Alligator mississippiensis: one gene and its partners. The main gene of each other region encodes a partner of the protein of the gene in region 2 in a complex. Links are inferred from orthologs where the notes say so. Each region holds a gene or a part of one and is shown on either strand. Other genes may lie near its edges. The genes, in order: HERPUD1, FAM8A1 and UBE2J1.

What was found.
Region 1: FAM8A1 (region 2) and HERPUD1 share a complex: the UniProt entries of both Homo sapiens proteins name them as parts of the HRD1 complex. The link is inferred for Alligator mississippiensis from reciprocal best matches to the Homo sapiens genes FAM8A1 and HERPUD1.
Region 3: FAM8A1 (region 2) and UBE2J1 share a complex: the UniProt entries of both Homo sapiens proteins name them as parts of the HRD1 complex. The link is inferred for Alligator mississippiensis from reciprocal best matches to the Homo sapiens genes FAM8A1 and UBE2J1.

The regions. Positions count from the first base shown.
Region 1 is NC_081833.1:36,703,321-36,707,067, reverse strand, and holds the start of HERPUD1 (homocysteine-responsive endoplasmic reticulum-resident ubiquitin-like domain member 1 protein), read right to left. Parts: upstream 2,609-3,747; 5' UTR 2,581-2,608; coding exon 2,449-2,580; intron 2,241-2,448; exon of another isoform or gene 2,005-2,240; coding exon of another isoform or gene 1,951-2,004; intron 1,835-1,950; coding exon 1,757-1,834; intron 1,669-1,756; coding exon 1,594-1,668; intron 1-1,593. UniProt on the Homo sapiens protein: Component of the endoplasmic reticulum quality control (ERQC) system also called ER-associated degradation (ERAD) involved in ubiquitin-dependent degradation of misfolded endoplasmic reticulum proteins.
Region 2 is NC_081826.1:130,847,201-130,850,947, forward strand, and holds the start of FAM8A1 (protein FAM8A1), read left to right. Parts: upstream 1-813; 5' UTR 814-828; coding exon 829-1,222; intron 1,223-3,747. UniProt on the Homo sapiens protein: Plays a role in the assembly of the HRD1 complex, a complex involved in the ubiquitin-proteasome-dependent process of ER-associated degradation (ERAD).
Region 3 is NC_081824.1:76,994,505-76,998,251, forward strand, and holds the start of UBE2J1 (ubiquitin-conjugating enzyme E2 J1), read right to left. Parts: upstream 2,639-3,747; 5' UTR 2,535-2,638; coding exon 2,504-2,534; intron 1-2,503. UniProt on the Homo sapiens protein: Catalyzes the covalent attachment of ubiquitin to other proteins. Functions in the selective degradation of misfolded membrane proteins from the endoplasmic reticulum (ERAD) and is essential for cells to recover from ER stress.

The DNA of each region.
Region 1 (3,747 bases), on a different chromosome or scaffold from region 2:
AACCACAATCAAAACAAACAATATTTCTAGAATTGTTTTGTTCCTAAAACACCTTGAGAGGTGGCCTGCATATGGAACAATGGCAATAGTGTCATTTGTTTTGAGAAAGTGAACTCTTTAAATATGTAGGAGCTTAAGGCCATAGTGCAGAAAACGGAGTAAAAAGCACTCATAATAGCAGCAGTTCCACCATTCTGGGAAACCAAACTTTTTATTTTTTTTTTTAAACACATGACATGTTTTAAGTCCTGTTCCAACAGGAAGCGATGAAGAACTACAGCTCCTCTCAGTAGATGTTGCAAAGTTACATTATGGTATAAAATCTTTGTGCTTGTATATATTTGGAAGTTTTACTGCTTTAACTATACTGGTTAAAGCAATATGCTAGTGGTTACATATACTAGCATAATTAAAGCAATAACCTGTCTAGTACAGGCAGAGCCACAGCAGTATGAAGGCTTTATAATACTATAGTTTAGGTCACTACATGTAAAGTGTAACAGCCTCTAAAGCATATGATGAACAGATTTAGCCAACGAATGCTAACTGTAAGTAAAAGCAGAAAGATCACAAGATCAGTTTTTACAAAGCCTTCCCCGATCACATTTAAAAACAAAAAATAATTGCTTGTCTTAATTTTAAAAGGTTCAATTTTTTAAAGTGTGTATCAATTTGCCATTTGATAAATGCTGTCTCAAATACTAGACAGAGGCTACCAGCATGGGGTGATGGCGATGCAAGTTGCCTTGAAGTGCTAGGACAATACATGTTTATCAAATACAAAGCCACATCTTTTTCAGTTGTTTTCTGCCACAGATGACACAAAAACAAAAACAGTCTATTGTTTGCTCATGACTTCAAGGATGTAATTTTTTTGCCTTTGAGATTATAAATCGCTAGTGTTAATCACACCAGCAAACCCTCATACAGAAACTGAGATCTGTGTCATAGTTTAAGCACACTTAAAAAAAAAAAAAGTGTATTAAGTTTGGTTTATTTCCAGTTTCTTCCTCCAGAGGCTTTTTAAGTTTTATTACTGATGAATATTTGGGCAACAATCCAGGAAGAGCCTAAAAGATGCCACCCCATTTAATTGTTGACAGATTCTCTTTCTTTATACGAATGAGACTTGATTATCATGGAAAACATACACATTCAAGACAACCGCTCCCTTTGCAAACAGCACAGCCCTCATGACCAAGCTCACTGGCTCAACCAGGGAAAGAGGAACTACAACAGTTGTACGGTACTAAATGTCTTTCCTCGTCAGTAGGTCAAGTATTACCCTGACCACCAGGTCAAGACAGACCACTAACCAGGCTGGACACAACATGCAATGGCCGTAACCTGGTTCAAGATGTTTCAGCTCCAAAACAAGCCATTACAAATGCTTACTCCAAATATGTAGCTGTTGTCTCACCCCTAGTACTAGCATAACAGCTACCCTATGAAGCAATGCTGCCCCTGCATTTACATGACGTGGGTCAACCTTTTTTCAGAAATAATTCTGCTTTGAAGTCATAAATCCCAAATTTGCAGAGTGTGTCCACACCCAGAAAAGCAAAAGTAGACTGATGTATTAATTTAACATACCATTGAACTGGTTTCTTGCACTTCTAAATGGCTCTTAGAGTTGTACACCAGGTGAAGAACACACAACTTCTCCTGCTAAAAACAGAAATCAAGGCATTAAAACGATAACATATTCCTATGTCATTTAATTTGTGCAACTATCAGAAGCAAGCAATTGCCATACCATAGGCAATACATCTCTCAGATAAAGATGATCAGGCAGCAACTTCCCCAAATAAATCAACTTCTGGTCCTCTTCAGGCTTTGAAAGAAGACAAAAAATATGTTGGGTTACTATTCTCTCAAATGCATGCAAATGCTGAGCAGCCAGGCATGACAGCAGCTGGCATACCAAAAAAGAAACAACAAAAAACACACCCAGCATAAATACATCCAAATCCTTTGAACACAATTCTCTTTTGTTTTTAGCATGGGATGATGCAACCAAACCCGCTGATTATTTATGTGCAAAATTGATGTCAGAGATTCAGAAACTCGCACAGAAACATAGCAACTCCTACAAAACAGGAATGAGTTGTCCGTCCATCGGGTGGGCCAGAAACCTGACAGGAGGACTTTCTCTTCCGTCTGAGGAGCAGAGGGATCCCGTGTGCCCGCAGCTTTCCCAGCCGCAGCAAAGGGATTCGCACCTTGTCTTCTGCCCGCCCCTTTCCCAGAAGCCCAGCACGGACGCACAGGCTTCAACGCCCAAAGTCCTCCCCTGCTGAGCACCGACACCCCTCGGCCACACGGACGAGCCGGCGCCCCGCCACGCCCGGCTCAAACCTCCACAAACCCCAGGAAAACCCGCTGCAGCACTTCAAGTAACCGGGGCCGCCCGGCCCCGGCCCCGGCCCCGGCCCCTCCCTCCCTCACCGGCGCCTCGGGAAGCAGGCGGCGCAGCCGGGCCTTGAGCTGCCGCACGGTGCCGGCGGGCTCGGCGCGCAGGCTCAGGTCCGGGTGCCGCCCCGCGGGGCTCCGCACCAGCAACGACGCAGGTTCCTCCATGGCCGCTCTCCGCCTCGCGCCCGCGCTCCCCGTGGCGCCGCCTTTTATCTCCTCGCCGCCTCGCGCCCCGCCCCCTGCGCCAGCCGGGACGCGGTGGCTGCCACTGATTGGCCGCGGAAAGAGAGCGTGTCACTAGATGGCCTATCAGAAGCGACATCCGGCTACAGAGTGACAGGGGCGGGGCTGACCCGTGTCAGGAGGCAGGAGGTGGCGGGGCGGGAGCGGGGGGTGCTGTGCGGGGTGTCCCGGGCTGGGGCAGCGCCGTGCCGCTCCTAGCTTGTTTCCTCAGGAGCAGGCACGGGATCGGGCGGCTGCAAAGTGTGGGGTTTCCTGCTTCGCAGCCCCCGGCAGCTGAGAGGGAAATGCTTTGGAGCAGTGGGTCTAAGCACAAAAGGGCCTGATCGCTCAGCCCCTGGCTCTGTGACACTGAATTATAAGACTATAGTAATACAATTAGAAGTCAAATAGCTGGGAGAAAAGAATTGGGTTCTAAGTAAATTATTTCTCTACTAATGATCTAATTGAGTATGGCCGTAGCACCACGATATGTGTCCCGTTGGAATACGTATTGTGTGAACATAAAGAGACCACCCTTGTTCAAAGATGGTAGGCTAAGACAAGAGACAATGGGAAAACGAATAAATAGTTGCAAAGGGAATCCTGAAAATTCAGAGGCAAAGATTAGCTGTCTCCAATATGCTCTGACCCTGAAAAATAGCTGAACAAGGCTCTGACTGCTTCCAGGTTGGATATATTACAAGTTGAGAAAAATCGCCCCTCCAAAGAACAGATCAGATCGGATCTGTACATCAGTGTGAGACACCCCCCCCACCCATTAATAAGCTTTCTTATATTAGGAATATGGAAACACTTTCTGAAATTGTATTGAAACTCTTATATTGTTAAATCAAAGACAACAGGTGATATTCCATTTCAGAACTGTTTCCTGTTTAAGGCACAGTTAATTTTTATATCTGTTCTTACAGACAGTGTTTGGTGATAACAGAATGTTATAAGTCTTGAGTTAGCCTTTAACACTAAATACTAATTATTCAGCTTCCGTGGACCTGTAGTAAATGCAAGATATTCCTTTTAGAAAAAGAAGTATCCCAATTGCTATGGAGTAGAAATCTTGAGCTTTTACTGGAGCCCTGTGTAGCAATACAG
Region 2 (3,747 bases):
ACCCCTCAGTGCCTGAGCCTCAAGTGGATCACAGCACACCCGGAGGGTCTGTGAGCATCTGCCCAGCAGCGCTCCATCCCCCAGGGCAAGTGAGTGGCCTTCAGCGTGCCCCTGCCAGCTTCACATATTTGCAAATTTGGCTGGAGAATCAAAACCTCCATGTAGTGACGCAGCCACTGGGGCTCTCCAAGGCCACCTGCAGGGTGTTTGGAAAGATCCCCAAGGGTGGACTCCCAACCCCTCCTCAGGCAGGAAGCCTGTGGGTAATGAAGCCATTACCACTGAGCATGGCCTTGTGGTACAACAGGATTACTCCAAGTATGGCACTGCGGGATTACCCCTTGGCCTGCTACGGTATTACCCGCCAGGGGAGACATGCAAATCAAACTCTGGGCAGACGAGCGCCACCTGAGGCAGCATGGGTTGCAAGCTGCCGCCCGCCCCTCCCCCGCCCATATTTGGTAACCCCGGGCCGGTTGCCATGACAGCAGCCCTGAAGCAAGGGCGTCACCGTGCCACGAACCGAGCTGCGCCACACCGATCGTCCTGGCAACGGAAGCCCCGCCCCCCGCGGCCTAGCTCCTCCCCGCCACTGCTTGTGCTCCATCCAGCCTCGGGCTGGCGTGACAGGACGATACCGTATCCGTGGGGGCGGGGGGCGATATCCTCTCGCGCTGGAGCGGTGTTGCCTCCCCCCGCACCTCCTCACTCAGTTGGTCGCTCCTGCTCTTACCCCCTCCCACCTGGCAGGTGGGTGAAGCGGAGCGAGGTTGTCGGCCTGCGCATGCGCAGTGGAGGAGGGGCGTGTGGAGGGAGCGGACGGGGGCCATGGCGGAGCCGGAGCCCGCGGCCATGGCCGCGGCAGGGGCTGAGGTGGAGGAGGAAGGGGGCGCGGGGAGCAGCCCGGGCACAGGCCCGCCGCCGCCCCCGAGCGCGGCGGAGTACGCGCGGCGCGTGCACCAGTGGCTGTGGGACTCGTACTGCGGCTACGTGAGCTGGCACAGCGGCCTGCCCGCCCTCATGGCCGCCGCCGCTGCCGCCGCGGGCACCGCGCCCTGCAGCGCGGGCCCCGCCGCAGCCGCCGCTGCCGCCGCCGCCTACTACAGCCCCTTCTACGTGCTGCCAGCGCCTGGCCCGGCCCGCCTCACCCCGCTGCCCCGGCCCGGCCCCGCCGCCCCGCCCCGCGCCAGCAGCGCCCCGCGCGATAGCGCCCGCCCGGCAGGTGAGCCGCGCCTCGGGTGGACGGGACCGCCCCTGCGCACTTCTGTCAGCCCCCAGCCTAGTAGATCACAATGAGGGGGCCCTTGGAGCAGGCCCCAGGGGGCAGAGCGCACCCCAGGAAGCTGAGCGGCCCAGAGCAGGGATTGTCTGCTCTGCCCCACGCTGCCCTGAGGTCCTTGCGGGGGTGCCGTGCGCTGTTAGCGCCATGCACGTGAGTCACAAGACGGACCTGGAGATTTCTGCCAGGCGTCCCTGGTGTCAGCACCATTTTGCTGCGCAGCACCGGAACGGCTCTAGTGCTTTTCTGTAGTCAAAAAATGGTGAGTTGGCATTTTTGAGGGGGCCCTGAATCTTTGCAGGGCTCCTTTGGGTCTTGAACAGGCAACACCCGCCGTTCTAGAGTGACCCCCATGCTGCAGATCAGTAATTTCTCTTTGGACCTGCATGGCAGGTCAAGGGGACAAAACCAGCGAAAATGAGTGAAATCTAATTGCTTCCAGATTTTACTTTTTCCCCCCAGTTGTGAGCTCTGAACAGATATGCGCTTGGTTTAAAAGGAATAAGGGAAGTCGTACTCTGAAGTTTAGATCACTTAAGAACAAATGCTGTTAATTGTCCCAGAATGTGGTATGAACAAGGTTTAGTAAAATCACTCTTGGACAGTCATGCACATCTTCAGATAATAGTAGATCAAGCCACTATGCCAAGGACACTAGGGAATTGACTGCCTGCTAATACGTTTCAGTGGAATGGGAATGTTTCTTTGCTCACCGAGGATAGCGATGGAAAACAGCTTTCCTGATGAGAGAAGAGCATTTCCACTGCAGTGTAGGCAGCTCTCCTCAAAGGAGAGTGTGTAGCACAATTAATTGTACAGTCCGGATGGGTGAATGTAGGAAATCAATAGCTTTGTGCAGTAGCTGTTTGGCATGGGATACAAGAAGATTGCACCCTGTAGTCAGCATAACTTTGGCTATCCAGCATGGACTCAGTTTTGCCAGCAAAGTGTTATCAGAACCCTTGGGTGTCAAATACACAGCCTGTAGGCTGGATCTGCCTGTGGAGCTATCATCTGACCCCTGGTGCTGCCTATGGGGCTTGGAGTGACCGACAGGCAGCGTGCAGAGCACACTGGGTGGCCTGTTCCAGCTCATATCCTGGAGCAGGTGCTGCGGGCAGCGCAGCACTGTGGGGTTCTGGGGCCACGTTGCATGCAGTCCCGTACCTGCTCAGCTCCAGGGCCATGCTGCACAGCTCCGGAGTTGCTGGAGCAGAGCCATGCTACACACAGGACCCACTCCAGATCCAGAATGCGGGGCTGGTCTGTGGGTTCTGCCTGGCCTGTGGACTGGCCCCATGGGGCCAGATTAGTGTCTACACCGGGTGTGTAAAACTCGAGTTAAGGCAGTAGCAGTCCCATGATAGAGTCTGCGCCATAGATGAATGAATCTTAGTGGTTTTAGAATTGGGCACAAGTTCTTTGGAGGCACTTGTCCACAACTTTTTTGAATGTGGAGGCATCCCCAGTTGAGAACCACTGAACTATTGCAATCTGTTTTGTATGGACAGTGCTTAGAAGAGGCATAGAGGGACCATGAAAAAACCTTCCTGCGTTGAAAGGGGGAGGTGGACATTGAAGAGTTAAAAGACACGCTGTGCAGTCTTTTATTTTTCTGAAAGCCACTATAGTGATCTTTGACCAATTAAAAAAAATCCTTATTAAATCTGAATTAATGTGTCTCTAAGCAATGCCTGTTTAGACGGTGAGCTAATTGTATCTGTTTAGAGTTTATGCAGTTATTTTAATGTTTCAGTGACAGATGGAGATTCATACAGAAGTCAGTTATGCTGCATGGCTCCTCCAGACTGAAAGTTGCTACCTCAGCAGTAAGAATACTCTGTGTACAGGCAGTCAGGGAAAGCCGCAGCACCTGCATTAGGGCTCTCTGATCAGCCTGAAGCATACAGGATAGCTGGCTTGTGCTACAGCGTGTCCTGGTGCAACTCTGCATGGCATCTCCTGGAAACAGAGGCATTTTGGGCAAGTGGAAGTGTCCTGCCTGTCTTTGTTTCTGGGAGGAGCATGCAGGGGGTAGACTGGGAAGGGCTGTAGCACAAACCAGCTCTCCTTCCCACTTTAGGCTGATCAGAGAGCCCCCCAATGCAGGCAGGATTGCTTGCAGGTGCTGCAGGTACTTGGAACACTGTCATGGCACCCCTTAGGGGGCCTTGGGCCACCTGAGTTGAGAACTACTGCCATAGACTAAGTTGAGACACTGATAAGTCTCAGGTGAATTCTCCCTGTCTCTTTGGGATGCATATCTTCCTCCTTATTTAGTTGTAAGTCTCTGTAGCATCAAATTTGAGTGTAATTTTATTGTGACTGTAGTCACAATAATACTTTAGTTTGTTTCGTACTGAATAAATAGCCTCACTTTGGAACTTTATGATTTGTAACTAGTGGCTATGCACAGCCAAGCTGGGATCAGAATACTTAGCTGGGTTGTTCCGGTTCTCTTCACCATT
Region 3 (3,747 bases), on a different chromosome or scaffold from region 2:
TTGACATATGCAATAAACCAAACCTAAATATACTTAAGTGTGTCTGATTTCCTAAGTTGATTATTTTAAAAAGTTATCATCTTGTACTTTTGTCTGTGTGACCCTTCTACTTACAAGTTTTTTTTTTGAGAAGTCACAGCTCTAATGTATTTGTTGCTATATGAAAATATATGATATCAATGAAGATGATTAGAGGCCTGAGAGGCATGACTTACAAGTAAACACTGAAAGAACTAGTGTTGGGTTATTTAGTCTTGAGAGGAAAAAATTGAGGGGAATTTGATAACACTTCAAATACCTGAAGGGTGATGATAATAGAGCTCTGTATACATTGAAAGGAAGTGGGAGAATACTCCCAGGTTTGTTCTCATGGTAGAGAAACTTATCTAAAGCCACATACCTCATACAGACATTCAGTTTCTCCTGGGAGAGTCACTGCTCTCTTAGGAGAAACCACAAGTGTACAGATGATCAGGCTTTTCACCAAAAATAAAAAAAGGCCACTCCTGGAAAAAAATAACCTGGGAACAGCCAGGGTTAAATCACTCCCAAATGTCTGTACCTGATAGGGCTTCTTTCAAAGGAGAACAGAGTCCTCAAGTTTCAGCAAGAAAAATTTAGGTTGGAGATTAAAAGGAACTTCCTGACTGAGAGACTGGTCAAGAAATTGTGGAATCTCCATCCTTGGAGGTTTTCCAGGAGCAGGTTAGACAGAAAATTAGCTAGGATGGCGTAGTCAGGGATTATCCTACCTTGAGCAGAGGACTGTACTAGATAACACTGTAAGGTCCCCTCCAGCACTCTTCTCAAATGATCAGGCATGTCTAATGTGTTTGCTATAACTATAAACTATTCCTATGTATTACTCTGAAGCTTACGCATTTGGTGAAATAAGCTTTTTTGACATGTACTTAAAAAGCAAATTAACAAAATGTATCTATTTCAGTGCAAGCATGGTACATGGGAAAGAACACATAAGAGGAAACTACTGTGTTGCTATATACAAAATGTTTTTGACAAAAGTCAAACTATGTACAGAAGCCCATGTAGTGTCAATAAATTAACACGGAAAATAGCCAGGAAATTCTAAGCTGAGGTAAAAAATTAAAAAAAAATAAAAATAAATTATGAAACGACTTTTCATTTCCATACATTTCAGTACTGAAAATTAAATTACTCCAAACAACTGACTGCATTCTAGTGCAGCCTGGGTCACACAAGTGAGGAACACCTATAATGTGTTCTTAGTCTATAAAGTGCAAATTGGACCAACCGGCTAGCAGCCTCTTAAGACGGGTGGGTCTTTTTTTTTTTTTTTTTAATAGATGCAGGGCCTCCTAACTTCACATTCCCATGACCAACTACCTCTCTCTTGTCTACAACATAACATAGTTCCTTTTACTGCATGCCAGGGGGAGAGCACACCCCTCAACAAAGGTCCACTGTTTACAGACATAAGGTCTGCTCTCTTCTTCTGTGCAAGAGTCACTGCTCATGGGGAAGGCCAGGCATGTCAACCAATTGGTCATGCCCAACTCCACTTGCACTGACAATACCACTGCGGCTTCAGACAGGAATTGGAGGAGACTGGCAACGTACAAGGAACAGTGGGAGTTAGCTGCAGGTCGCCAAACAGATTACACATTGCAGCCAAACGTACAATCCCTTGTTTTTAAAGTCGCACACAATGGCTAGCAGCAGCCACAAATGCTAGGCTCATGTCAGGGCCTTTAATGAGAACGACTGTCCTCTCCAACCGTTTTATGCCTTCATTGATGGTGGCCTGGTTTTCTGATGGTTGCATCCCTAAAAAAATTCAGCACTCTCCCCACCCCCACTCCACGTTTCCCCATCTTCATTCCACCTCACATTTACCAACAACAGCGATCCTCCCTAAGGCACCCTCGAGCCTTTCATGGGTGCCGCAGGTGGGGGCCCTCACGCAATGTTAGCGCTGTACACACTCGAGCGCGACTCAGCCGAGACACCCAGAGATGTCAGGTCGGGCATGAGGACACCCTCTGCCCACGGATTCCACCAGCTGGAGGGGAACCGCTCCCGTGCCTCCGAGCAGCCGGGAAAGGAAAACCAAAGGGGAATGAAGCGCTGACGTTTCCCACCCCCCCGCGGGTGGGGCGCCCTCAGTCTGACAGAGGCTGCCTGGGGCCTGGCCAGCCGGAGCCCCAGCGGCTTGAAGGGAGACGCCGATGGATGCCCCGGGCTCCAGGGTTAGGCCAGGGCAGCTCAGTCCCGTCCCTCCCCTGCCCGCCCCTCCCCCCCGCAGATGTGAGCTTAGCCGCCCCCAGCTCCTGCCCCTGGGGGGCAATGCCCTGCCCTGCCTGGAAGCTGCCCCGGGCCTCGCGCAGGCGCGGACAGGGCCAGCCGGCCGGGGGTCCAGGCCAGGGCCTGCGCCCGGCGCCAAACCGCGGCCTCGAGTGCCAAGGAGCCGCCGCCGCCGGACGGGAGAAGCAGCCTAGCGTAGCGGGGGTGAGAGGCCGCTTACCCGGGCTCTTGAGGTTGTAGCGGGTCTCCATGGCCCGGCGGCGCCGCGAGAAGGGAAGGGAAGAGAAGGGGCGGGCGAAGCCGGCTGAGCCTCCTGACGTGGCGGCGGCGGCGGCGGCGGCGGCTCCTCTGTGACTGAGGCCAGTGGGCGGGGCGGGGCGGGGCGGGGGAGGCGCCGATTCGCCCGCCCCTCGGCCTAGCCCGGCCCTCCCCTGGCGCGGGGGGGCGAGGACAGGCCTGGCTCGGGCATAGCTGCTGGGCCTTGGCCCCGGCTTTGCGTCCAAAACCGAGTGAAAGTTTGCGAGCTAGCAGGGCCCCGGCCCCGCGGACGGAGCGCGGCGGTCTGGCGGGGTAGGTCTGGCCTTTGCTGCCCCGGCGGGGGTCCTTCCCGCCTCCTGCCTCAACACGTGCCTGGGGAGCTGCGGTTGCGGCAGGGAAAGCAGGGCGGGAAGAGGCCCGGCTGCGCCATGGAGTTCACGTCCCGTTCATTCCTGGTTAAGCCCTCCCGGACGGGGGTCTGTCCAAGCTGCTCTTGAAAATGTCCAAGGATGCAGATTGCACCACCTTTTTAGGGAGCTTGTCCCTGCGCCTGACTGCCCTCGTAGTCCGAAACTCCCTCCTAGTTCTCTCCAGCCTACCTTTTCCCTGTTGAAGGAGATACACGTGTGTGTGTGTGTGTGTGTGTGTCCTGCGGGCCTTTGTGCAGGCTGCGCGGGTGCGGCTTTGGTAACAGGTTATGGTTTTCTTTGTGGAGTAATACTTGGAGTGTAGATATAGATATAACCTCATATAGATAAATAGATATTTTTCAAAAAAACTCGCTAGCTTGCTCCTGTGGCCCTACGGCTGAGGGCGAGGGAAACCCGGGGACATCCGAACCCCAAGCCTCTTGGCTTGGGCCTGCCCATAGGACGGCTGCCAAAGGATTTGGAAGCATCCGAAGCCTGGGGTAGGGGTGGAGGATGTTTGCCAGTAATAGGGTTACATATGGTTCTTGAATGACTCACAGATTTGGAAATGATTTGGCTGATTTGACTTGGGACATGAAAAATTTTCCTTAAAAAAAAAAAAAAACAAGCCTGAGTTTCCGTTGACGAAGCTGCAGGCCACTGTTCCCTGTCCTGTCCCCTACAGCCAGAGAAAAAAGCCCATCTCCATCTCCTCTGTAATTGCCCTTCAGGTATTTGAAGACTTATCAAATCCTTCCTCCCCTATGTGCCTTATTCCAGGTACAGCGGGAGCTCG